7 linked regions of the Canis lupus familiaris genome follow. The protein of the gene in region 2 binds, or shares a complex with, the protein of the main gene of each other region. Links are inferred from orthologs where the notes say so. Each region holds a gene or a part of one and is shown on either strand. Other genes may lie near its edges.

The links.
Region 1: UXT (region 2) and PFDN6 share a complex: the UniProt entries of both Homo sapiens proteins name them as parts of the PAQosome complex. The link is inferred for Canis lupus familiaris from reciprocal best matches to the Homo sapiens genes UXT and PFDN6.
Region 3: UXT (region 2) and WDR92 share a complex: the UniProt entries of both Homo sapiens proteins name them as parts of the PAQosome complex. The link is inferred for Canis lupus familiaris from reciprocal best matches to the Homo sapiens genes UXT and DNAAF10.
Region 4: UXT (region 2) and PFDN2 share a complex: the UniProt entries of both Homo sapiens proteins name them as parts of the PAQosome complex. The link is inferred for Canis lupus familiaris from reciprocal best matches to the Homo sapiens genes UXT and PFDN2.
Region 5: UXT (region 2) and RUVBL2 share a complex: the UniProt entries of both Homo sapiens proteins name them as parts of the PAQosome complex. The link is inferred for Canis lupus familiaris from reciprocal best matches to the Homo sapiens genes UXT and RUVBL2.
Region 6: UXT (region 2) and PDRG1 share a complex: the UniProt entries of both Homo sapiens proteins name them as parts of the PAQosome complex. The link is inferred for Canis lupus familiaris from reciprocal best matches to the Homo sapiens genes UXT and PDRG1.
Region 7: UXT (region 2) and POLR2E share a complex: the UniProt entries of both Homo sapiens proteins name them as parts of the PAQosome complex. The link is inferred for Canis lupus familiaris from reciprocal best matches to the Homo sapiens genes UXT and POLR2E.

The regions. Positions count from the first base shown.
Region 1 is NC_049233.1:2,883,259-2,886,199, forward strand, and holds PFDN6 (prefoldin subunit 6), read left to right. Parts: upstream 1-1,144; 5' UTR 1,145-1,186; intron 1,187-1,331; 5' UTR 1,332-1,415; coding exon 1,416-1,479; intron 1,480-1,729; coding exon 1,730-1,800; intron 1,801-1,879; coding exon 1,880-2,004; intron 2,005-2,210; coding exon 2,211-2,340; 3' UTR 2,341-2,441; downstream 2,442-2,941. Other genes in the region: WDR46 (WD repeat-containing protein 46), read right to left, coding at 1-28, 173-253, 362-574, 676-744. UniProt on the Homo sapiens protein: Binds specifically to cytosolic chaperonin (c-CPN) and transfers target proteins to it. Binds to nascent polypeptide chain and promotes folding in an environment in which there are many competing pathways for nonnative proteins.
Region 2 is NC_049260.1:41,479,973-41,484,017, reverse strand, and holds the start of UXT (protein UXT), read left to right. Parts: upstream 1-1,245; 5' UTR 1,246-1,405; intron 1,406-1,582; 5' UTR 1,583-1,591; coding exon 1,592-1,689; intron 1,690-2,671; coding exon 2,672-2,768; intron 2,769-2,893; coding exon 2,894-2,961; intron 2,962-3,238; coding exon 3,239-3,346; intron 3,347-4,045. UniProt on the Homo sapiens protein: Involved in gene transcription regulation. Acts in concert with the corepressor URI1 to regulate androgen receptor AR-mediated transcription. Together with URI1, associates with chromatin to the NKX3-1 promoter region.
Region 3 is NC_049231.1:68,505,325-68,508,192, reverse strand, and holds the end of WDR92 (WD repeat-containing protein 92), read left to right. Parts: intron 1-1,456; coding exon 1,457-1,664; 3' UTR 1,665-2,368; downstream 2,369-2,868. UniProt on the Homo sapiens protein: Key assembly factor specifically required for the stability of axonemal dynein heavy chains in cytoplasm.
Region 4 is NC_049259.1:22,183,246-22,187,359, reverse strand, and holds the start of PFDN2 (prefoldin subunit 2), read right to left. Parts: upstream 2,801-4,114; 5' UTR 2,734-2,800; coding exon 2,659-2,733; intron 1-2,658. Other genes in the region: NIT1 (deaminated glutathione amidase), read left to right, coding at 2,881-2,882, 3,476-3,574, 3,820-4,074. UniProt on the Homo sapiens protein: Binds specifically to cytosolic chaperonin (c-CPN) and transfers target proteins to it. Binds to nascent polypeptide chain and promotes folding in an environment in which there are many competing pathways for nonnative proteins.
Region 5 is NC_049222.1:108,061,521-108,065,019, forward strand, and holds part of RUVBL2 (ruvB-like 2), read right to left. Parts: intron 2,274-3,499; coding exon 2,167-2,273; intron 2,079-2,166; coding exon 1,985-2,078; intron 1,596-1,984; coding exon 1,472-1,595; intron 1,124-1,471; coding exon 1,029-1,123; intron 930-1,028; coding exon 811-929; intron 1-810. UniProt on the Homo sapiens protein: Possesses single-stranded DNA-stimulated ATPase and ATP-dependent DNA helicase (5' to 3') activity; hexamerization is thought to be critical for ATP hydrolysis and adjacent subunits in the ring-like structure contribute to the ATPase activity.
Region 6 is NC_049245.1:21,885,703-21,889,715, forward strand, and holds the start of PDRG1 (p53 and DNA damage-regulated protein 1), read right to left. Parts: upstream 2,801-4,013; 5' UTR 2,693-2,800; coding exon 2,606-2,692; intron 1,152-2,605; coding exon 1,076-1,151; intron 247-1,075; coding exon 172-246; intron 1-171. UniProt on the Homo sapiens protein: May play a role in chaperone-mediated protein folding.
Region 7 is NC_049241.1:58,128,631-58,132,629, reverse strand, and holds the start of POLR2E (DNA-directed RNA polymerases I, II, and III subunit RPABC1), read right to left. Parts: upstream 2,801-3,999; 5' UTR 2,724-2,800; coding exon 2,667-2,723; intron 2,444-2,666; coding exon 2,269-2,443; intron 1,023-2,268; coding exon 907-1,022; intron 495-906; coding exon 414-494; intron 1-413. UniProt on the Homo sapiens protein: DNA-dependent RNA polymerase catalyzes the transcription of DNA into RNA using the four ribonucleoside triphosphates as substrates.

The sequences.
Region 1 (2,941 bases), on a different chromosome or scaffold from region 2:
TTCGTGTTTTCGACTTCGAATGTGGCAGCTATACCAGCGTTGGCAGGAGAGTAATGAAAAAAGAACCAGGTGTTATGTGGGGTGCCAGGAGAGTCACACAGTTCCTCTTCATCCAACTCACTCATATGCTCTCCCAAGCTGCAATCCCTCCTCACTCCCAGCTGGTCCTCACCTTTTTGGATTTGTCAATGCGACGGAACTTGCGAGCCACTTCCTCAGGGATGGGAGCAGGGCCTGGAAATGGATCCTGGGCCTGGGGAAGGAGGAAGCAATTAGCAGACAGGTTAGGGTTGACCCCAACCATCGCACCTGCAAAGTACAAGGCAACTTGCCCCACCACCTTATCAGGTCCCAGGCTCACCCCGGACAAATTTCTCTGAGGCTCAAGATTTCTCTGTTCTCGAGGTTTCTTCGGGAACTGAGGCTTCCCGGGGATCCGAGACTTTTTTGGGAGGTTAATGTTCTTTGGCCTCTGGGGGCGGAGCTCTCGATTCCTTTTCTTGTTACGAGGGGGCCCTGGAGAGGCTCCGGCAGCGGTCAGAGTGGCTTCCTTCTCCCAGTACCTCCGCGGTTTCTACGGGCAGATCACAAGCTCTAACACTCCATAGCCCTCGCCCCCCCACCCCCGGGACCCCGCAGCTAAAAATTTCCCTTCCACCCTAGCGAGGTCTCTACCTTCTTCTTGGTCTGAAGTCTGGCCTTCTTGGGCTGGACATCTCTGCCGGGTTTGGAGGCTGTTTCCATCTAGCCCACCGGAACGACGACCCACGTGCAAACTTCTCTCAGCTGTCCACAGACGGCTCGGAAACTCCCGGAAGCCCGCCGGCCCTCGTCCAATCAGTGCCTACCAGGTCTGAAGCCGTCTGAGCGCCATCTTGAATGAGGGCCCACTCTCTCTCGAGGGGCGGGGCAGGTCTTGGCTCCGCAATCCCGAGCAGCCGCTTATGCCCGAGTAATGAAAGAAAGGTAGTCTGGGGCTGGGGACAAAGTAACGGTGCAGTTTTTTTTTCCAGCTCCGTTTCCCTGTCTTGCCTAAAACCTCCCGGGTCCAGTTTTCTGGGGGAACACCGTTCACTAAACGTGCCAAAACTACAGTTCCCGGCATGCGTCAGAAGACAGCTTCCGGCGCCTTCTTTTCCCAGCATTCTTTGTTTACTTCCAGGTTTAGTAATAGTGAAGCGAGAACGTGAGTATGGCTGGGTTACGGTTGAGGGGCTTGGGGTCTTGCTGCGCCCGCCACCTCCTGGGGCCTGCGTGGAGGGCTCTCTGGGACGAGGAGAGGCTGTGGTGCCCTGGGAGGCTGCCTCGCAAGAGTGCTGTCCTTTCCGCAGGCCGGGCCAGAAAGGGGAGTTTAGGTACCTCCCAGAGTGAGACCCAGCGCCCGCTCCCACTCCCCGCGGGCCTTCGTCCCCGCCATGGCTGAGCTAATCCAGAAGAAGCTACAGGGAGAAGTGGAGAAATATCAGCAGCTACAGAAGGGTAAGGGAGCAGCGTCGGCGCGGCCTCGCCCCAGACCCTTCACTTACAGCCCAAAGCCAAACCAAGATAATATGTTGTGCCCCACTAGAGGCCCCGCGTGCAGCTCCTTCCCCATCTCGGAGCTCGTCCCCACCCACTGACCTGTTGCCGCCTCCTTGTCTACTTCCTCAGCTCCGTTTTCTTCTCACCAGGATTGGGGTTAGGCGGCACATGTGATGTGTTTAATCAACCCTTTCTTCCTAACCCCCAGACTTGAGTAAATCCATGTCGGGGAGACAGAAGCTTGAGGCGCAGCTAACAGAAAATAATATCGTGAAGGAGGTGAGAGAGGGATATGCCGGGCCAGAAGGGACCTGACCTGGAAGTGATTCTGATCTTGTATGTCCCATCCCTCCATCAGGAGCTGGCCCTGCTAGATGGATCCAACGTGGTCTTTAAACTTCTGGGTCCTGTGCTGGTCAAACAGGAGCTGGGAGAGGCTCGTGCCACAGTGGGGAAGAGGCTGGACTATATCACAGCTGAAATGTGAGTCTTTGTTCTGACACCCTGCAAGGCACCGGACGCCCCCAGCGTAGAATGTCGAGGAGCCGTTGGAGTAGTTCCAGGGTAGCCCTGTCTGATCTGCTTCCTCAAACCCTCCACGGGGAGTCCAGGAGAGTCCAACCCTTCAGCACCCTCAAGAGTAAATCCCATCAATTTCTCATTTGCTTGTCTCTCTTGCCTCTCTTCAGTAAGCGATACGAATCCCAGCTCCGGGACCTTGAGCGGCAGTCAGAGCAACAGAGGGAGACCCTGGCTCAGCTGCAGCAGGAGTTCCAGAGGGCCCAGGCAGCCAAGGCAGGGGCTTCTGGGAAGGCCTGACCCCATGGGGGGGGGAGGGAATGAGGCAGCTCAAGGGTCTATGCTGTAGCTAATAAAATGTGAAAACCCCTGGCTGTTTTCTGACCAGCCACTTCCTGTCATGATGGTCTCTTCCTTGGGCCCCTTCAACTTTATATATATGCCACCTGCATTACTCTGTTCGGTCCCAATTCTCGTGACTGGAATTGCCACAGAGTAATCCTCCTTTTTTCACTGAGACTAAAATCTGAAACGTCTCACACCTACTTGCCTATATACACTACGCTTGCCTTGGTTGGCATGCCCCTTAGGAAACATGAGAAGAGCATTTACCACGCAATGATCATTGGGAAGGCCAGTTTAACTACAGAGCTCACGGTAATCTAAACTGAGACCCCAGGGTGAAATGTGGTGACCCTCTTGCTATGCTTTCTTGTCATCCTCCAGAAAGCCCCAGCATCTTAGTCTCATTCTAGAATTTGTTTGAATGAAGTTTAGGCTGATTTAAAATCCCAGCATGGAACACTTTGTGATGTTGTAAGGCCCTCAAGTTTATACGTTATCCACAAAGTCATTCTTCCATTTCTTTGTCCTAAAATTGTTTCTTACAAATGTCCAACCA
Region 2 (4,045 bases):
AGATTTGCACAGACCTATCTTCAGTTCTTCAGAACTCTGTGTTGTTTTGTGTTAAAGATAATAAACATGGGGGGATCCCTGGGTAGCTCAGCGGTTTGGCGCCTGCCTTCAGCCCAGGGCATGATCCCAGAGTCTCAGGATTGAGTCCCACATCGGGCTTCCTGCATGGAGCCTGCTTTTTCCTGTGTCTCTGCCTTTCTGTCTCTCATGAATAAATAAACAAAATCTTTAAAATATATAAATAAAGATAATAAACATAACACCTCTTTTTTTCCCCATAGGAAAATGGTATAGATTAACTCAATAATAGTTGTCTAACTACCTGGTGTCTATTTCAATCACACGAAATGTAACTTTAACTATATGTAATATTTGAAGATTTACAAAAAAACATTTTAAAAAATTACATGTCCTTTCCAATCATCTTGTTCTTAGGGCAAAGAAAAGCTTGACTTGCTTAGGTTTTGAGCATTTGAAAGAAAAACTTGCCTTTACACACAAAACACACAAAGTATCTGAGAAGACATCACTGGCATGAGTGGGGGCTCTCGGCCCTATAGGCAGGCATAGCATTTGAGGGATTTGGTATCTGTGTTCTCCTTCAGGCTCAGCCAAGACTTGCTGGGTATGATGCTATTATTTGAAAATGTAACATGGGAAATAAATTCATTAACTTGAGTGCATACAAATAAATAAAAGTTTATACATTTAAATAAAGACTCAGGAACATTTCTAACTACAGAATAGCCGATCTTGAGCAGAGGACTTCAGCGACCCGCCACCTGATGCCTCTATTAGACGAGGTAATAGACATAGTGTTTTGTCAATATCTGCTTGGATCCTAGTTATGGATGGCAGGTTGCAAACTGGAGTTACCAAAGCTGAGTTTCAGAGAATCTGTCTCCGTTTAAAAAAAAAAATTTAATGCTCACATTCATTCCCATTACTGGGAATCAAACCCAAATCTCCCGTGCGAAAAATCAAAATCCATGGCGACAGTTCCCGGGATGTACTCTCCTTTTTACAAACCAGAACCATAACCAATTCTTGCCCGTCTGCTTCCGAAGCTCTGACTTTTAAATACTACACGCTTCTCTCTCGCCACCTGTGCGCCCCGCCTCCCCCAGGAACCCGCCAAATCCCATTAAGGCCCGCCCCCGCGAGCCACGCTCAGTCCCCACAGGCTCCGCGCTGCCCCGTTCCCACGCTGCGCGGCCGGGAGTACACTCGGTGGATTCCCTAAAGCCCCGCCCTCCTCTCCTCCGCTTCGCCCCTTTCCAGCCCTTCAGAACCGCCTTTCCCACCCGGCTATTCGGTTGGCCCGCGCCCTTGTGGTACGTCATTCACCCGCGCCACCCGGAAGCCACGGTTTATAGCAACCGTTCTTATTGCCGGCGGCTCTAAGGTGAGGGCCGCGTTTGGGTGTCCCTGGGTGGCAGAGTCCCAGAGTTGGGAGGGGCAGAAGGCGGAACCCCGGCCGGAGCCGAACGAGCCCACTCCCGCTGTCGAGGGGGTGCAGATGTACTGTGCCTGAGGCCAAACTGTGTGGTCAACGTGGTGTGCTCCGCTCCCCATTCCTTAGGAGCCCATCATGGCGACGCCCCCTAAACGGCGGGCGGTGGAAGCCACGGGGGAGAAAGTGCTGCGCTATGAGGCCTTCATCTGTGACGTGCTACAGCAGGACCTGCGGTGAGTGGCAGCGTGGAGGGCCGGGCGTGTGGAAGGTTCCACGTGGGGGGGCGGGGCGTCCAAAGTCAGGGTCTAGCCTTCTGATTGGTGGGAAAGGCATTTGGAGTCCAGCCCCGTGCGCCGATCCGGCGAGGAGGGGCGACATCCGGGGTGCTACTGGGCTGGGATGTGGCGGTTCTTGTAGAGGGTGTGTCCGCGCCTGTCTGGCCTCCCATCTCACTTAGCCGTGGAGCTAGATTCTAAAGCGGGAGTTCTTAGGTTCGAATCCTTGGCCTGGCCCCTTCGCCATCTGTGTGAAGACGTTGTACGCTGCCTCGACTTTGTGTGCCTCAGTTTTCTTATCTGTGAAATGGGAAAGTTCATGGAACCTTCCTCATGGGGTGGTTTTGAGTTTTTAATGTGTTCCCCCCTTGTAAAGGATTTAATGTGAATACTAGGGGCTCTATGAGTATGAAAAATTGTTACTATCACTATTAATCTGAGCAGGAAGTAGAGTGTTCAGAAGCAGGATAATGAACATCCTGAAAGGGATGGAAGATTTTTCTAGGGTGAGAATGGGACACTTTTTTTTTTTTTTTTGAGAATGGGACATCCTGATTGGACGGAATGTGGTAATAGTACTAATAAATAAGAGCTAAAACATATATAGAGCTTAGTTTTTGGTTAGGTGCTATTGTAAGTGCTTTGTAGTAAACAGTTCTCTTAATGACTTTGTGAGGTAATACTTGTCGTCCCTTTTTTAAAGATAGGGAAATTGACTCCTAAAGAGAAAATGAGTCCTAAAGAATTTGCTGAAGTCACACAACTAGTAAAAAGGAGAGCCTAGATTCAAACCCAAGCAGTCTGACTCACAATTCAAATCAACTTCTGCACTAAAATGCTTCTTTAAGGCATGGTGACATGAGGGTCTCAGTCATAATATGAGGTATTCTGACAGGTCCAGGGCTTCCTGTTGGTCACCATTTTCCTCTTGTCCCATCAGAAAAGTGCTGGACCATCGCGACAAGGTATATGAGCAGCTGGCCAAATACCTTCAACTGAGAAATGTCATTGAGCGGCTTCAGGTAAAAACAGCCAAGGTTAGGGACCATTTTGATGTGTTTGGGCAAGGGAGGGGGATGGGAGGAGAGACCCCAGACCAAAACCTGTCAGCTGACCTGAAAGGTGACCACTGACCCCTACCTCTTTTTCCCTGGCCCCACAGGAAGCTAACCCCTCGGAGTTATATATGCAGGTGGATTTGGGCTGTAACTTCTTCGTTGACACAGTTGTGTGAGTGTCTACCTGCCCCTCTGAGCCCACAGGGCTCAGCTTCCCCCTTCCTTCATGCAACAAATATTTTTTTTTGAGTATTTGCTATGTACCAGACACTGTGCTAGGTGCCGGGGATGTGACAGTGAATCGAATAGGACAAAACCCCTGCCCTCTCAGAGCTTCTAATTTGGGGAAGGTGGGAGGAGTGGAGTAAAAAAAAATTGCCAATAAACTGTATAGTATGCTAAACAGTAATAAAGACTTCCCCCACTTCCTCTAACCATTGTTTCCTCAGCCCAGACACTTCACGAATCTATGTGGCGCTCGGATATGGTTTTTTCCTGGAGTTGACACTGGCAGAAGCTCTCAAGTTCATTGATCGTAAGAGCAATCTCCTCACAGAGTAAGTCCATTCTATGAAGTGTCTAAAATACCACCATTTGCAACATCCTTTTCCCTTTCCCCATGGCTCTCTGAGATGATAGATACTTAAGGGCCCATTTCTCCTCCTCCCCAGGGCTAGGGCTGAGGAAAGTAGAGATGCAAAGCTCAGCCCCAAGAATAGCACATAGGAAGCACTCCATAAATGGTCTTGATATTGCTCACTCACACACACATTTGTTGGCTGTTCTATGCCAGGTTCTGTACTTGGCAGTGGGGAGGCCACAGTGAACAAGACAGAAGGGTTCCTTGAAGGCCTAATCTTGACCAGATCCAGAAGGTTTTGGCCTATAAATCAGTAAAACAAGTTACCTCCCGATTTCACCTCCTCCTAATTTTCTTGCTCCTTCACTGTGCTCTCACCACACTGATCTTCCTGGGCTTCTTGAAACACCCTCAGAGTGATCCCATCTTAGGGTAACCGCGCTCTCTGCCTATAACATGCTTTCCCTGGGTACATGCATAGCTTCCTTTTTCCTAACTCAGTTTAAGTCTTTTTTTATATAGTTTTTTTAAAGATTTATTTATTTATTCATGATAGACACACAGAGAGAGAGAGAGAGAGAGGCAGAGACACAGGAGGAGAGAGAAGCAGGCTCCATGCAGGAGCCCGACTCGAGACTCGATCCCGGGACTCCAGGATCGCGCCCTGGGCCGAAGG
Region 3 (2,868 bases), on a different chromosome or scaffold from region 2:
GGTAGAGGTCAGTGATTCATCAGTCTGTGCCCTCCTTCATGCCCATCACCAGGTACCCCCCGCCCCCTTCCCTCCAGCAACCCTCAGTTTGTTTCCTAGAGTTAAGAGTCTCTTAGGTTTGTCTCCATCACTGATTGCATCTTATTTTTTCCTCTCTTCCCCTATGATCCTCTGTTTTTTAAATTCAGCATGAGTGAGATCATATAATTGTCTTTCTCTGATTGACTTACTTCATGTAGCATAACACCCTCTAGCTCTATCCACGTCTTTCCCAATGGAAAGATTTCTTTTTTTTTTCTGATGGCTGAGTAGTAGTCTAGTGTGTGTGTGTACTACATCTTACATATACTACATCTTCTTCATCCAATTTTTGTGTATTTAAAACTCTCACACATGCATATACATTCTTAAAACTTTAATAGATAATATAGAAGGTTTAAAAAATCTTTGTTTTAAATACTAAATAATTGCATCCTTTGCCAAGAGACATGAAAAAATTCTGTAAACTGTGTCATCATCCGAATGTCTTACTCCTTTTAATCAAAAGAGGTTGTATGGTCCAAGAAGAAGAAAGAATAGTAGGGATCTGCCTAGCACTTGTGTTTCTGCTCTGCTTCTGAGTTGCTTTGTCCCTCTCACACTCTTGGCCTCTATGAGCATCGAGGAAATGAAGGTAATGTCATGGTCGGTACCAAACAGGCTTTAGAGCCCCTCTGAGGAAGATTATTCCTGTTTTTCACTAGGAACTTCTTTTCCCCCTTCTCAAATCTAGACCAAATAGTATTTATAGTTGTTAACCTTCAGCTCTACTTATTTTATGAATTTATATGTTCAGCTGAAAAAAAAATGTTCTTAGAATTGCTTTTTTTTTTTTAAAGCAATGATTTTTTTTTAAGATCTAAAGTCTCCTAGCAGCACGTTTCCATGGCAATGGTACACACAAGGTCTGTGGGCTTGGGTCTGTGTCATAGAGCTCGACAGTTAGGAACAGAGTCTGCTGCTCATTCTGGAAGTGCTTAGGCGATGTTCCGCAAGTGTTACTTACAGCTTTTGCCTTTGCACTTGCGCTGCCTGTGGTGTCCAGGAAGCCGGATCTAGAGAAGGACTGCGTAAAAGATTATCAGGAACACCAAGCAAGTTTAATAAATAAGGCTAGGTCAACCTAGAACTTTATAATAAAAGAGAATACAGGCTCAAGCTGAGCAGAGATGATGTTTAAAAGTTTTTAGTAGAACCGAGCCCTTTATTTCTTTTTTAAAGCTATATTTTGGGGGATGAGGCTGAGGCTGAAATAGTGTCTATTTGTATAAAACGCAACATGGAGAGATTCTTTAAGTCCTTATCAGCTTGAGTACCCAGCAGAGAAGTAAAAATGGAGCTACTGGACTGTATGTGTATAAATACGGTGTGGAGAACGCTAGGATCTCTGTCCTTACCACTCCGGTCTTGTTTGCAGCGAGTACCCTATTCAGCGGTCAAAGAAAGATTCTGAGGGAGTCGAGATGGGAGTTGCGGGCTCGGTCAGCCTCCTGCAGAACGTCACCTTGTCTACCCAGCCCATTTCCAGTCTCGACTGGAGTCCAGATAAAAGGGGTCTCTGCATCTGCAGTTCTTTTGATCAAATGGTAAGAGTACTGATCGTTACAAAACTCCATAAAATTTGATCCGAAGACTTAGGACCTGAAACCTTCCGGAGGAACGCTCAGAGTATTTAGGACGTGCCCGGGGATCCTCTGGCCCTCACTAGCAGAGTTGGATTTGACGGATGAAAACAGTCCCCAGATGCAAACGTCCAGACCCGCCTCCTCTCCGGGTGTGAAACCCCGAGAGGTGTGTTCCATCCACTGGACTTGGACTGGTTTGCTGCAGCGTGGGGGGACCGCTGTCTCCAGAGCCGGCGCTGCTCATCTCTCCTCCATCTCTACGAAAAAGTTGGTACTTTTCTGCATTTAAACATGTTTTAAATTTGTTCTTCGACCCCAGAGTTACATATTTTACCATAACACCTGGTTTCAAATAGTTCAGTCTCAGTAAAAGTACCATGAATTAACCTTCATATACTTTGAGAGATTTCAGTGTCAGTAAGTTTCTGTACAGACTATTACTTTATAAAATACCGAAATGGCATGGTCAGACTAGATTTGGTAACTGTTTTCAGCTGTAAGACTCCTAAAACGAAATATCATTTACCAAGTGAATATTTATAGTGACCTCTTTTTACCTAAAAAACAGGAGTCAAATTAGACTTGCTTATTGGCTGGTAGGTGATGTTGAGATGTAGAAGATTATGGGGGTTTTCTAGCCTTATTTTTTTTGTCAAATCTTTTCATATATTTTATAAATAAATTTGTTTTTGAAATCTGTGGAAGCTTTGATTCTGTTCACGTAACAGTAGTAATAAGGCCAACACCATCACTTCTTTGCTTTATGAATGCTTAGTAAGTACCTCGTGATCCACGGTTTCATCGTGCTCACGGGATCTTTGGCTCGGCTCAGAGGCATTCACTTTGTCACGCCTTCCTTAAGCCTCCCGTCCCCCCCCCCCAACTCAGGAGTCGGAGCACCTAAAACACTTTAATATGTAAGAGTCCTGTGACTTTATGGGTGCTTGGAAACTCAGTGTTTTGGAGTATTAAATTCAGAAAATTGACCTTTTAAAAAAATCCCCAAGAGGTTTTTTTGCTGTGGTCATAATTATGGAAGTAAACTGAAACTGAATTTAAAGCCTGTACCTGCTGGGTTGTTTTGTTTTTCATTTTTAAAAGAAAAATAAAAAATATGGAATTCTCTTTTAGGAAACTTGTATTGGGTGGTGCATTTAGGTTTAAGTCAAGAACAATAATTACTTCTGTTTCATTAAATCTGCCA
Region 4 (4,114 bases), on a different chromosome or scaffold from region 2:
GGGTCCTGGGATTGAGTCCCACATCAGTCTCCCTGCATGGAGCCTGCTTCTCCCTCTGCCTGTGTCTCTGCCTCTCTCTCTCTCTCTCTCTCTCTGTGTCTCTCATGAATAAGTAAATAAAAAAATTTAAAAAACATTTTAAGTAAGCTCTAGGCCCAACATGAGGCTTGAACTCACAACCCAAAGATCAAAAATCACATGCTCTATGTACTGAGCCAGCCAGGTGCCCCAATAAATCTTACATTTTTTATCCAGTGTTCTCTCTGAAACACAAAGGCCATAGAATGTTAAGCAAGAACAGCCTCAGAACTCAATTATCACAACTGCTCGCTTTCTTTGGAGGGCTTCTTCTCTTTCTCCATAACCCCTTAAATATTGGTTCCATCCTTGTTCTGCTGCTTCTTTTTTCAACTTTCTGCACAAACCCTAGATGATTTTGCCCATTACCATGACTTTTTTTTTTTTTTTTAAGATTTTATTTATTTATTCATAGACATAGAGAGAGAGAGGCAGAGACACAGGCAGAGGGAGAAGCAGGCTCCATGCAGGGAGCCCGATGTGGGACTCGATCCCGGGTCTCCAGGATCACACCCCAGGCTGCAGGCAGCGCCAAACTGCTGCGCCACCGGGGCTACCCCCATTACCATGACTTTATCAGCCTTCCATAAGCTTATAGTTCTCTGACTCAAATGTAATTCAAAATTTATAAATCAAACCAACTATTAAATACCTCTACTTGAATGTCCTACAAGAAATCCAAACTCAAAACCCCAAGAGAAACATATTCCCCACCCCCCTAGGCATTTCCTATCTTCCTACATTGCCTATGAACAAGCATCCATCAAAGACATAAATCTGAGAAACATTCTAGTTTCCTCTCTATCCCGTTTTCTTCACATTGAAGTCTTGCAGTCCACCCCATACTTTAAGCCCACCTGCATCCCCAACAGGCCAGAAAGGTTCATGCCTCACTGCTTTTAAGGACATTAGTCTCTGCCTAGGAAATTCTCCACTTCCTTCTTTTTTTTTTTTTTTTTTAAGATTTTATTTATTTATTCACGAGAGAGACAGAGAGAGGCAGAGACACAGGCAGAGGGAGAAGCAGGCTCCATGCAGGGAGCCCGACGTGGGACTCAATCCCGGGTCTCCAGGATCACACCCTGGGCTGGAGGCAAATGCCAAACCGCTGAGCCATCCAGGGGTCCCTCCGCTTCTTTCTTTGCTTGACTAACTTCTCTCATCCTTTAGAACTGAAGGATTATCTCTCCCAGAAAAACAAACACTATACTCATTACTGTGCAAAACACTTTGCATGCATTTCTTGTCTAATAATAATCAAAACAGTGATGAAGTATGAACTGCCAAATTTTTACAAGGTGAGAGAGGGAACTCATGGGAGGTCATCTACACATAATAAATAGCAGAACCGTGATTCTAAAACAGATCCGCCAACCCTAGGGCACTTCTTATGCTCTTAGCCACCCCTCAGAAAGTATTAGGTTCCTTCTCCTTTTCCTCCCACCACAACACACGGGTCGGGGGGCAGAAACTATCGTTCCCCCCCCCCAAAGTCCTGCAGCACTGGGCAGCCCGGGGGGGCTCAGCTGTTTAGCCCCTGCCTTCAGCCCAGGGCCTGATCCTGGAGACCCGGGATGGAGTCCTGCGTTGGGCTCCCTGCATGGAGCCTGCTTCTCCCTCTGCCTGTGTCTGTATGAATAAATAAATAAAATATTTTTTAAAAATCCCACAGCACTTTATACCTGTTAGGACACTCATCTTCGGCCTTATGTTAGCACTTAGTAGGTCTTATTTCACTGTGAGCTCTTTGATGGCGTGGGCCAACTTGAAAAATCTTTATGGAGACACCTTTGCCTGCGGTGACTATTCGACAAATAACTGACAAGCGAGCGAGCCTGCAGCGAGAAGAGCTGTTGTCTTAGGTTTTCCCTTCTGTCGCGGGGATTTCTTGCCACCCAGACTACACACTAGCCCCGCCATTAGCAAACCAGGGCTCCCCGCGCGCCACAAAAGGCTCTCCGGGTTGTTTATCACACGTCTCCCGCTGCTGAGACACTGGGGGAGATGCAAACTCGGGTTACAACACGGTTTCTGGTCGCTCAGGAAATCCAATCTAATAACGACGTGCGGGTCAAAATAGTATGGGACGGCGGACTGCTGGGGCATGCGAGTCACGTGGCTCTGCAGAGTGAGGGCGACGGTCAGCGTGGTGCCGGGGTCACCGAACAGGCCACACGGCCAGCCCGCCGGCTCATCCCCGGGGATTCGTGCCGAGCCGCCGGGCCCGGCCTATCCTGCGGGAGGGTGCGGGGAGGTAGGCAGAGCCACGCCCGCCCCCCGCCCCTCCCCCTCCCTCTCCTCCCTTCCCTCCTCTCCCCTCCCTCCCCTCCCCTCCCCTCCCGCCGGGCTCGGGCCCCGGGCCGGCTCACCCTGCACCCCGGGGGGGGCGTGGCCTTCACCGACCAACCCTCCCGCGCTCTCCCCCGGACCCGGCCAGCTTCTCCGAGGACCCTCCCCTCTCGGGGCGGCCCCGCCACGCCGGGACGCGCGCGGGGCCTGCCCCAGCCAGCGGCGCCGCCCGCTCCTCGCACCGACTCGGGCCCGGCCCGGCTGCCCTCCTTCGCGCCCTCCGCTCCTCACCTGCTCTGCCGACACCGCCCCTTTCCCCGCGCCGCCGCCGCTGCTCTTGCCGGCGCGACCGCTGCTCTCCGCCATCTTCGCCGCCCGCTGCGCTTCCGGCCTGCGCGGCCCCGCCCCCGTGCGTCACATCCGGCCTGGAGGTTGCCGCCCCCTGGCCCCGGGGCCGCCGCTTCCAGGCCGCTCCTCCGGTCGGACGCTGCCGACGGTTTCGGCTCTATCCTCATGTAGGACCCAGCGGTGCACTCCGCTGCGGGGCTTTAACCCGTGCAAGGGAGCCGCTGCGCCTGGGAGAGGCGGAGAGGCCGGGTTGACCGGAGCGTGGGGGCGCGGGCTGGGATGTGTGTGGGTGCCGGTGCCCTTTGCCCCCCACGGGGTGGGAGGGGCGAGGGACGGTGAGCTTCCCCTCGGAGATCGGGGTAAGGGGGCATCCGCTGAGCAGTGCCGCCGTGCAGGTGCCCAGTGAAGGGGAGAGGCTGGGGAGAGCAGGGAGGTTTCTTGGGGATGCCTTTTGAACCGCGGGTATGTTCCCCCGGGCGGGCAGGTGGGGGCGGGGGCGGGGTGGGGGTGGGGGGGCTTCAATCTAATACGAGCCCACTGGAGCCGAGACAGGTGCCGAGCAAAGCCCCTTCCTCTGTCTTCCCACTTTATGAGTCTTCCTGTAGCCCATAATTACTCCCAGTAAGACTTGGTGGGGAGGGGGGGTGTTTCTCTGCGAGGGCCCTGCTTCAGCCTCCCAGTATGAAGAGAGGAGTCAGAGAATCCTGGAAATGTGCTGCTTGAGCGCGGGAGTGGTGTCCTGATTTCTCACCTTCCTCAGGCTGGGCTTCATCATCAGGCCTCCTCACCAGCTCCTGCCCCTTCTCTTGTGTCCTGGACTCCGGATACCTCGACTCTCAGTACTTTGTGCACAGCCCAGGTAACATGTTTTGCTCTGTCCTTGGCGCCTGACACTTAATAGATGTTCAGTAAATGTCTGTGATGTGCATAGATGGTGGGATACACTGGGGTGCCAACCATCACAGAACATTTCATCAGTGGGGAGCCCTGAAAAGCAGAAACCAAAGGGCAGCGCAGCCCTCCTGCTCCCCCACTTAAGACTCTGATTGTTAAATTTGCATTTCCCCATTCTGGAAGTCTGAGCCCTGCCCGTGCCATTCACAGTCCCAGAGCCATGGCTATCTCCTCTTCTTCCTGGGAACTGCCGCTGGTGGCTGTGTGCCAGGTAACATCAACACCAGACAAGCAGGAGAACTTTAAAACATGCGCCGAGCTTGTTCGAGAGGCTGCCAGACTGGGTGCTTGCCTGGCTTTCCTGCCTGAGGCATTTGACTTCATTGCAAGGGACCCTGCAGAGACACTACGCCTGTCTGAGCCACTGGGTGGGAACCTTTTGGGAGAATATACCCAGCTTGCCAGGTATCAGGGAAAGGGGGAGGGAAAGGTAGCTTCCTTGTTG
Region 5 (3,499 bases), on a different chromosome or scaffold from region 2:
GGTGAGCTCCATGGCTCTAAAATTTTCCCCCGGCATTCTTAGGCCAAAAGCAATATTAAGTTTTGTTCTATAAGGTCGTTAGGGCTAAATGACCTAACTGTAGTGATGCAGGCAGTGTCAAACACATCTGTCTCTGTGCATCCCTCAGAAACTCAAAACATGGGACGCCTAGGTGGCTCAGCGGTTTGGCATCTGCCTTCGGTTCAGGGCGTGATCCTGGAGGCCAAGGATCGAGTCCCACATCAGGCTCCCTACATGGAGCCTGCTTCTCCCTCTGCCTGTGTCTCTGCCTCTGTGTCTCTCATGAATAAATAAATAAAATCATTAAAAAAAGAAAGAAGAAAGAAGAAAGAAAAGAAAAGAAAAGAAAAAAGAAAAGAAAGAAAAGAAAGAAAAGAAAAGAAAAGAAAAGAAAAGAAAAGAAAAGAAAAGAAAAGAAAACTCAGAACATCCCAGAGCACTCATGTGTTTTCAGCAGCATCCTGGCATGCCTTGGCACACAGTTTGGGAACTTGAGCCTCAAGGGCTACAGGAACTAAAATACAGAAAGAACATGATCCTCAACTTCCTGATGGAGCAGAACTGCCTGCCTACCGCCCTGAGCACCCGCCTGCTTTGTTTTAGGGAGAAGCTAAAAGACAAACTTTGTCTAGGCCCCCGTACATGGATAGCCTTGTGACACCAGCTAAGTCCATACCCTTCCTGACAGGGAACTCAACAAACATTCCCTGTTTACCCTGTGCCCATACCCACTACCTGGAGCACCCTGTTTCTCCCAGAGACCTCTGGGGAGGCCAGCAGCTGGCTCACCGGGTGATGCCTCGGTTGGTGGCCATGATGAGGACGGGCGCCATGTCACTCTCCAGGGCCCGATTGAGGAAGGAGAAGCTCTCAATGTCCAGCATGTGGACCTCGTCGATAAACAGCACCTGGGAGCCATTGGGGCATGTGTCAAACCTACCCAAGCCTCTTTCCTCCCATTTGCTCTCACTGTGAGCCGCCTGCCCTGGCCACACCCTGGTACTCACGCCAGGGATGATCTCAGCCTTGCCCTCCTCACGCCACTCGGCCACCTTGGCATTGATCTGCTCTCGGACTTCTGACTTGATCTCCCCTGTGTCGCCTGAAGGAGGTGGGGGTGACACAGGGAGTGTCAGAGAGGAGACAGGGACAGAGGGCCGGAGAGTGGACAGAGAGAAATGAAGATGGGACACCAGGGATAGAGGGAAGAGAGATCAAAACTGGAGTGGCAAAGTGACAGAAGGAGTGTCTCATTCGGTCTGCAATGTCCCAGAGAAGAAGACCCGAGGCAAAGAACCCAGGAAGAAGAGAGGGTAGGACATGCAAGCCCCCATTGGGACTATCCAAGAGGGAATGAGGGCAACAGTGTGGGTAGGACGAACCAGGGGGCTGTACTGGAGGTAGGAGGAGCAGTGTGTGCCATGAACAGAGCCAGCCTGCTGGGCCTCACCTGAGAAGAGAGCCAGGAAGCCCTGGGTGCGGGAGTTGATGACATCAATCTCATGCAGGGACACGGTGTGTACGACCTCCTTGCGTTTCTGGAGCTCTCCGTCTGGACACTGCACAAACTTGGTCTATGGGGCCAGGGGGCAGGGAGGGAGAGGTAAGAGTAAAGAAGAACATGAAAGGGGGCCCAAAGGGGCTGTCTGGGTGGAGAGTTGGGGGAGATTGGACTTCCTGGGGTAGAGCTAAGAATCCAGAAATCCCAGGTCCAAGAGGAAGTTACCACCAGGGCACTCGAGAGCACTGAAGGATCGGAGGTTACTGGAGGACCTCAGAAACCATGAGCAAACTGCAAAGATGAAGTGCCCTCCTTGTCCTGGTGGGTACAGGGAAGAACCAGGAGTAAGGGACATGGGGTGGGGCTACTGGAGGATCCGGACCCTCTGGGCCATGGGGGTGATAGAGGAGATGCAAACATCCTGGTGCCTGGAGTGAGCGGACCCCCAAAGCCCTGGCCCACCTGGGAGCCCATGGCATCATAGTCGCGAGCGCGTGTGAAGGAGCGGCCCAGCTTGGAGATCTTGCCTGTGGCCTTGTCGATGGTAATCACATCCCTGCATGTGGAGGAGGGTGGGAGTGAGGACATGAAAGGGCTCGAGATTCCCCCACCCTGACCACCTACCATGGCCCCCTGCCACTCACCCAGCCTGGACCTTGTCCTTAGTCAGGGACTCAATCATCTTGGTGCCCAGGTCGTATATAGTCTCCATCTCTGTGGTCTTGAGGGTCAGCTTGCCGACCTTAGAGCCCTGAGATGGGTGACAGGCCAGCCAAGGAGTTCAGAGGGGGCCCATTGTCTCCCCAACACAGCTTGGAAATGGGCATGACACAGGGATGCTTTAGGGGGCAATGGACTGTGGATATGTCAAAACTTAACATCCTATAAACTCTTTTAAAAATTATTTATTTATTTATTTATTTGAGGGAGGGAGAGGCACTGGTGGGGCTCAGTGGTTGAGAATCTATCTGCCTTTGGCTCAGGTCATGATCTCCAGGTCCTGGGATCAAGTCTACATCAGGCTCCCCACAGGGAACTTGCTTCTCCCTCTGCCTATGTCTCTGCCTTGCTCTCTGTGTCTCTCATGAATAAATTTAAAACATCTTAAAAAAAAAAAAAAAAAAAAAAGAGTGAGAGACGGGCAGCAGGGAGGAAGCGAGGAAGAATCTGACACAGACTCTGCACTGAGTGCAGAGACCAACGCAGTACTCAATCCCATGACCATGAAATCGTGAGATCATGACCTGAGATGAAACCAAGCTTCAGGGATGCCTGAGTGGCTTAATGGTTGAGTGTTTGCCTTTGGCTCAGGTCGTGATCCCAGGGTCCTAGGATTGAGTCCCACATTGGGCTCCCTGCATGGAGTCCGCTTCTCCCTCTGCCTGTGTCTCTGCCTCTCTCTCTCTCTGTGTCTCCCATGAATAAATAAATAAAATCTTTATTTAAAAAAATAAATAAATAAATAAAAGAAAAGAAACCAAGCGTCAGACGCACTACCAAGCCACCCTGGTGCCCCAACATCCTGTACTTTCACTGTGTGCAGCTTATTGTTTGTTGGTTGCTCAACAAACCGATTACTAAAAACCCAGGAAGATAACAAACAACAACTTACCTAAAAGATAAAGTCTTTAAGAACAGCAACATGGACTAGAGGGCCCTGATGTGGGGAGGTGGGAGTGTGCCACACTCTAACATTCCTTGTTTTATGTCCACGTAACTTGTGTTTTTTTTTTTTTTTTATTAGTCACAAACCCAGAAAACAGAGCTAAGCTAAACACAGCTAAGAAAACAAAAATACCACACTTTCTCCCCACAAAATAAGCACAGTCAGTGTCTTCCAGCACATCCACTTGTCTCTTATTTCTAGTGAGCTGTTCTTTTTGTAGGGAAAGATGGCAGGACAAAAGGGCTGGAATTCAGGAGGAAGAGAGAGATGGTTTTGGTTTTACATTTTTATTTTATTATATTTTAAAGATT
Region 6 (4,013 bases), on a different chromosome or scaffold from region 2:
ATCCCCTCCTTCAGAGATAAGGAAATAACTCAGAGTGGCAAAGCAGGAATTAAAACCCACATTTGTCTGAGCGCTGCCTCTCATCAAATGGTCCAAAGCCTGATTCTCAGTTCTAGGTTAAGACTAATGCTATGTGGGACACGTCCCTGACCCATCCCCAGAAAGCCTTACCTTTCTCAATCATTTCCTTCGTTTGAGGGTGAGGCATCTTGATAAACATGTTCCCGAAGCAAACCATCACATCTTCTGAAATGGCAAATGGTCACTCTTTGAACAAATATTTTAAGCACCTACTCTCTGGCAAGCATTGTTTAAGATACTGAGAACACAGCAGAACAAGACAAAGTTTCTGCCCTCATAGAGCTTATGACATAGTGGAGGAGAAGGAATAAATAAGCCAAGATATGATTTGTCAGACCCTGATAAGGCTAAATACTCTGGAGAAAAATAAAGCAGGGTAAGGGGGTGGGGAATGCCAGAGTACAAGACAACCTTGACTTTAACAGATGGTCCAACAAAGCCTCACTGATTATGTGACATTTGGGCAGAGACCTGAAGAAAGTGAGGCGTAGGCCCTGCACATCTCCCCCCAAAGTTCTTCATTATGACCACTGTAACCTTCATTATGATACCCGTCCCCTTACTTGGTCATACCCACCTGGCCTCAACTAGAGCCCTCAAACCCTTCCTCCAACACCCACCCCATGTCCAGTTCCCTTTTTTTTTTCTGTCCAGTTCCTTCCTCAGCTTGCTTACAACTTCCAATTAAGAAAACAAAAACAAAAAACTTCCAACTAAGTATTATGTAGTTTTATTTGTAAGAGCACACCTCACCCTAGCACCTTCCTCGTGCCATCAATGAGCCAGCAACTAACACCCCCCCCACACACCCCACCCCTGTCATGGAGATGAGCAGCTGAAACCACTCTGTATCAGACCTCCAACATTTTCTCCCTCATCTCCATAGGCTGTGTCACACAACTGTGGCTTTTTGTCCCTATCAGGGATAAATTGAAAGCCTTACAAGAAAAACAGAACAGGCCCCCAGGACTGCATGACTGAAACCTTGACTTACCAGAGAGGCTGAGATCCTTCTGCAGGGCTCGTAGGCCCTCCCGGTTCTGATTTCTTTTGGTGTCCAGGTCCACAATCTGCAAAGCACATGGGCAGGAGGGAACTCAGCTCCCTCTTGCCCCAAACCATCACCTCCCAACAGACCAGGGGCTGTTAAAACCCAATAGAGACAAACTCATTCCTGAGTTTCTTCCAATGTCATGCCTAAAACACACTGATGTGTAAATGTACATCTTCCCCTATTCTGTATCCAGGTCCTTAAAGACAATGCTCTGTGCAGGGGCCCTCCCCCTTCTCCCCAGAAGGTGCTGGGGAATCCACTGAAGTGCTAATGCTCAAGCTTCAGGGCATTTCAGAATCTCCAAGAGAGGAGAAACCTCCCCCTGGACTAGTTCCTCCGGCTGATGCTGACCTAGTATCACAAGAAGCCCAAAAATACTAGACTGCAATGGCAGGGGTGGGGGGCACAGAGATGGCACCAACACAGAAGCTGCTATGGAAGTGAGGAGGCAGTGCGGTTTCTTGAGAACGCTGGCGAGCTGTGTAACATCACCTTCTGGGAAATGGAGATATGAATAGCACCTGCCTCACAGGTTACTGAGCCAGGAATCAAATGAGATAGCATAGTATTTGACACACAGTAAGTGCTTGAGACATTTTAACCACCACGTTATCATCATCCCGCACACCCTGATGCAGTGTTTAATGGGCACTTACCCAAGTCTTCCCCTTCTCAGTAAATATCCGACCAATCATCCAATTATTCTAACTGGAGATGAGGAGCCATGAATCATTCTTCACTCCTCCTCCTCCCTCACCCCCATATGTAACTATCATTAAGACCTACTAAATCCAACTCCAAAAGATACCTCAGACCCACGCACTTGTCTCCTTCACCACCACCCTGGCCCAAACCCACTCCTTGCCTGAACCCCGGCAGTGGCCCCTCACATGTCCCTTACCCTTCTAGGCTCTGTGCTCCACCCCGCAGCCAGGGGAAATCTTTTTAAAGCCCAGATCCAATTACATCCTCCTCCCTTCCCCCATTAACTCCCTCCAAACACTTAGCACTTAAATTAGCACAAGGCGTCCCCACCTGCCCAACGTCAAAACTGCTCAGGCCCCCTTTCCTCTCCTCCCGAGAACCTTGGCGAAGACAGTGCACCCACGGTCGGGGGGGCAGGGGGGGCAGGGGAGGCAGGGGAGGGGGGAGGAGGAGGAGGAACTGCATTTTGAAAAAGGTGTTGAGCCGTTACCCAAAGAGATAACGGCTCGGGATCCGGAGGGGGACGGAGACAGGGATCCGTGGCACCAAGCAGGCGCTCCTAATACGTACGTGAGGCGCAGCGCCGGGCCAGGTGTCGGCCCTCCCTCCCTCCCTCCCCGCCGCCCCAGGTCCGAGGTCACGGTCGGGAGCCCACGGCCAGCCCGCGCCACCGCGGGATTCCGGGCCCCGCGCGCGGCCCTACGGCGCCAGCCGCCAGGCCCCGACCGCCGAGCCCTGGCCCCGGGCCGCGGAGGAGCCTCCCACCTGCCGCTTGTCCGCCAGCACCGCCTCGGCGAGCTCCTCCACCTCCACCAGGTACCGCAGCACCCGCTCCGCTTCGGGGGACAGCATGGGGCCCGCCAGCTCCGACTCAGCCCGGACCGGGGAGCGAGCCCAGCTCCAACGCCGGTAGGGCTCGGCTTCGGCTGCGCAAGCGCACGGCCAGGCCTTCCGGCGCGCACGCGCAATTAAAAGAAGAGTGGTGCGCAGGCGCTAACACCCGGGCGCCCTGGGGACGCGAGAGGCGGGGCCTAGCCTTGGGGGCGGGGCTGGAGCGCCCCCTGCAGACTCAGAGGGCGTGGGCCGCGGAGCTGCCTCTTTTTTATATATATATATATTTTTTTTTTTTAAGATTTTATTTATTTATTCATGAGAGACAGAGAGAGAGGCAGAGACACAGGCAGAGGGAGAAGCAGGCTCCATGCAGGGAGCCCGATGTGGGACTCGATCCCGGGACTGCAGGATCGCACCCTGGGCCGAAGCCGGCGCTAAACCGCTGAGCCACCCGGGCGTCCCTGTATATGTTTTTATTGGAGTTCAATTTGCCAACGTATAGCGTAACACCTGGCGCTCATCCCGTCAAGTGCCCCCCTCAGTGCCCGTCACCAGTCACCCCCACCCCCCTGCCCACTTCCCCTTCCACCACCCCCTGTTCGTTTCCCAGAGTCAGGAGTCTTTCATGTTCTGTCTCCCTCACTGATATTTTAACTCATTTTCTCTCCTTTCCCCTTTATTCCCTTTCACTAATTTTTATATTCCCCGAATGAATGAGACCATATAATGTTTGTCCTTCTCCGATTGACTTATTTCACTCAGCATAATACCCTCCAGTTCCATCCACGTCGAAGCAAATGGTCAGATTCGTCCTTTCTGATGGCTGAGTAATATTCCATTGGATACATAGACCACAGCTTCTTTACCCATTCATCTCTCGATGGACACCGAGGCTCCTTCCACAGTTTGCCTATTGTGGACATTGCTGCTATAAACATCGGGGTGCAGGTGTCCCGGCGTTTCACTGCATCTGTATCTTTGGGGTAAATCCCCAGCAGCGCTATTGCTGGGTCGTAGGGCAGGTATATTTTTAACTCTTTGTGGAATCTCCACACAGTTTTCCAGAGTGGCTGCACCAGTTCACATTCCCACCAACAGTGCAAGAGGGTTCCCCTTTCTCCACATCCTCTCCAACATCTGTTGTTTCCTGTCTTGTTAATTTTCCCCATTCTCACCGGTGTGAGGTGGTATCTCATTGTGGTTCTGATTTGTATTTCCCTGATGGCAGGTGATGCAGAGCATTTTCTCACGTGCTTGTTGGCCATGTCTATGTCTTCTTTGGTGAAATTTCTGTTCATGTTTTTTGCCCATTTCATGATTGGATTGTTTCATGATTGGA
Region 7 (3,999 bases), on a different chromosome or scaffold from region 2:
TGAGTCTGTGGGTGTGACAGGCCCCACGGCGCCCCCACACGGGAAAGGGGAGCAGAGCGCCACAGGCTGTTTCCTTGGAGTCAACCATCCACCCAAGGGTCCCAGCTGCCACCCCACCCTGCTCCTGACTCCACGCCTGGGGGGAAGGAGCTATGGCCTGCAGGCGCCTGGGGGGGTATAACCTGGAGAGTGCAGGGGCCCCTGGACAGACCCCACCCCCTGCCCCCCAGCTGCCTGACTGCACACCTGGCAAGTGCCCAGGGCCTCACTGAGACTCCGGCTCTGCTTCCTCCTCCCCACAAAGTGGGAGCAGCGGCACCTGGTGCGTCCCCAGGCCCTCCCTGTGCTCGGGCAGGTGCCACCTCACCAGCCGTCCAGCCTCCCCTCCCGCAGACCCCCACTAAGGCCCTCACCTCGTGCTCCGTGATGTTGATGAGTAGCTCCTGCTGCAGAAACTGCTCCAGGATGTACTTGGGGGCCATGTCAACCAGGGACTGAAAGAGAGGCTGACCCTCACGCACAGCCAAGGCCCAAGACGCCGCCACCCCACCTCTCCCAGGGGCTGAGGGCAGGTGGGAGCCAAAGGGGGTTCCCACGTGTCAGGTCAGTAAGGCTCCTCTGGGAGGAAGAGACCACCCGACACAAACTGTGACACCTAACAAAATGCTCCTGCAGTTGTCCCTGTGCTGGTGTGACGTAGAGAACCCTGCAGGGACGAGCGCACAGAGCTGGCCCTCCGTCCCAAACAGCAGCCCCTCCTCGGACCTGTTAACCACAGGAATGCTGGCACCCATGCAGGGCACCTCCCTGCTCTGGCTTCTGCCCACACGGGAGAGCCGCTCCTTCTCAGATCCCCAGATCCTGGGGCCCATGAGGACGTGCGGCCAACACGAGCAGCGTGCCCACCTGCTTGGCGGAGGGAGTCATGCCCTGCTGTACCACAATGAGGGCCCGGGTGATGTTCTCCTCCTGCATCCGCTGGCAATACACCTTGATGGTCTTGATTCCCACTTTAGGCTCCTCTGGGGACAGAACACACGAGGTCTACACTGCAAGAGTCCCTCCTGCCCCAAGGGCCCTGCTCACTCACCTGCTCGTTCACTTCCACCCTGCTAGGCGCGCGGGCTCCAGCTTGACCTTGCCAAGGTGTAGCAGTGCCTCTCTGGACCAGCTCCCTCTTTCTAGGGCCCCAGGGAACCCACCAGGGTGCCAGTCCTCCCCCCCAGCCCCCACGGAGCTGATGGGTGCCCTGCATCTACCCACTTGGTGGATCCCTCCCTGGAAGCTGAATCTGGGGACCTACGTGGTGCAATGTCTGGAATCCCCAGATGAAGCAGCTGACCTGAAGGACCAAACCCCCTCCCTGCACAGCCACGGTGGGAACCCTCACGCTCACCACAGTACAGGGGCCAAGACCTGCGGGACCCTCTGAGCCTGGTGGAAGGTGAGCAACTGGGTGCCTGCTGCCAGGACGGGTGCGTGTGGTGCACCACATCTGCCCCATCACAGCACTCCCCTCGGACCCTTGCTCACCTGACGGGCAGCGTCAGGGACTGAGCTGTTTCCCACGGAATCCCCGTGTTACAATCCTAACCCCCGAGACCTCGGGTGCAACCGTACTTGGAACTGAGGTCTTTAAAGAGGAGATTCCACCAGGTTGTCAGGATGGACCTCAGTCAGACACAACAGCACAGACACACAGAGGCACGACCTCGGGAACTCATGGAGAAGACGGCCACCGGCACGCCAGGGAGAGGCCTCAGGGGGACCCAGCCCCGTGCACACCCTGGTCTCAGACGTCCTGCCTGCAGCCCCGGAAGAGGTCAGGCTGCTGCTGAAGCCGCCCGGTCTGCGGCGCCCAGTCGCGGCGGTCCAGGTGGACCAGCACGGCCGCTCAGTCCCATTCTGTGGCCCACTGGAGCACACGGGCGCCCCGGGCCCACTCCAGGGAGGGCCCTGCCACAGGCCGACCCACACACGGGGACGCTGTTTGCACGAGCACCAGGAGGGTCCCTCCTGCAAAGGTTTCCGACGCCCTTGCTTCTGGGCAGGGGGCTGGGCCCCCCGGGAGGCCTGCGACAATCCGGCTGCACTGAACGAACAGTCAGCGGGGAACAGAACCCAGGGCTCCCATCAGCACCCCGTGGCACCGTGCGCAGCAGGCTGGGCACTCGGGAGGGCGGGTGTAGACACCGTCCCTGGATGGCTGCACGAGGGCTGCGGACTCCTAGGGGTCACGCAGCCACCCAGGACCCACGCGACCCTCACCTGGAAAGAAGACAAACATCTGGTCGGTGGGGTCGTCGTTGTGGGCCACCAGCACCGTGAGGTCCGTGCGCCGGGGCCGCCCCTCGCTCGGCTTGTCCCCAAACTGGGCCTTGAACTCTTCCAGCGTCTGGTCCAGCTCATCCTGCGTCACCAGGTAGCCGCGGTCGTGGCACAGCTGCAGGGAGCACCAGCCGGGTGACCCCCGGGCTCAGAGGGCGGGGCGGGAGGGGCGCGGCCGGATGACGTCACCGCGGAGAAGGACGGACAGGGCCGCGGCCCGGCGCCTCCGAGCGCGTGGGGACCGCACAGGAAGGGGCCGCAGAGGCCGGGACGCACCCGCCGAGCGCGCCCGGAAGCTCCGAGCTGCGCCCGCCGCCGCCCTGACCGCGCGGGCTCACCTGCATGATGGTCTTGCGGATCTTCCACAGCCGGTACGTCTCCTCCTCGTCGTCCATGGCGGCCGCCGCTCGCAACCCGCGCGCCTGAGCCCGCGGCAGGGGCCCGCGCTGACTGCGCCTGCGCCGAGCCCTGCCAAGCCCCGCGCGGGGCTGCCCACAGCGAACGCCGGACTCCAGAGACCTTCGCGGGCGGCAGCGCCGAGGGCAGCCCGGGCCTTCTGCGAGCGGCGGTGGGCGGAGCCAGAGCCGAGCGAACGGGACCGCCCACTCTCGCCTCGGCAGTTGTCGCGGGGTTTCGGCCGCGGGGCCTGTCGGGAGTTGTGGTTTCCGCCCGATGCCCGTGTGGGTGGGGAGTTTGGAATCCGGAAGGGCGGAGGCGAGGTGTGGGCGGGGAAACTGAGGCCAGGGTGGGGTCAGCGGTCAGCTCGCCTCCCCGGGGCGCAGGGCATGTTGTCAGGCCCCCCACCAGGTACGCATCCCGCTGCTGGGCGTCGCCGCCGCCTTACTGCGCAGCAGCCTCGGGTCGCCCGGGTGGCTCCGTGGCTGAGCGTCCGCTCGGGGTGTGATCCCCGCATCGTGGGCTCGAGTCCCGCATCGGGTCCCGCAGGAGCCTGCCTCTCCCCCAGCGGTTCTCAGGAGTAAATAGTCTTAAAAAAAAAAAAAAAAAAAAGAAAGGCAGCCCGGGTGGCTCAGCGGTTTAGCACCGCCTGCAGCCCAGGGCGTGACCCTGGAGACCTGGAGTCCCACGTCGGGCTCCCTGCGTGGAGCCTGCTTCTCCCTCTGCCTGTGTCTCTGCCTCTCTCTCTCTCTCTTTCTCTCTCTGTCTCTCTGTCTCTGTCTCTCGAGAATTAAAAAAAAAAGCCTAAGCAACGGAGCCCCCCAGGCACCCCCTCCGCCAGCCCGTTTTTTCTTATCTGCCGTCTACACCCGTTTCTCCCTAGTCTGTCCGCCCTGGGCCGGCAGCTCCGCTCCTCCGTCCTGCCCCTTCTCCACATCCTGTCCATCCTGTCCGACTGCAAACCCTCCACCTTCAGAACTGCAGGCGCCGACGTGAGCCCCCATCTGTGGCCCTCTCCCTCCTCTCCCCCTCCCCCATCTCTCAGCTGAAATGCAGCAACAGCAAAGGAAAACCCCGGCTTTTCAAGGCAATCAACGAGGCCTCCCAGGTGTGCCCCAGGCTTGCCCCACGACAGCCTCTGACCTCCCCTCCCCCCTCCCCCGGGGCCTCCTGCAGCCAACGCAGCAGGCAAAGTGCAGCCCCAGGGCCTTTGCACACATTGCACCCTCTGGTGGATACGCCCTTCTTCTGACATTCCTACAGCTGCTCCCTCTC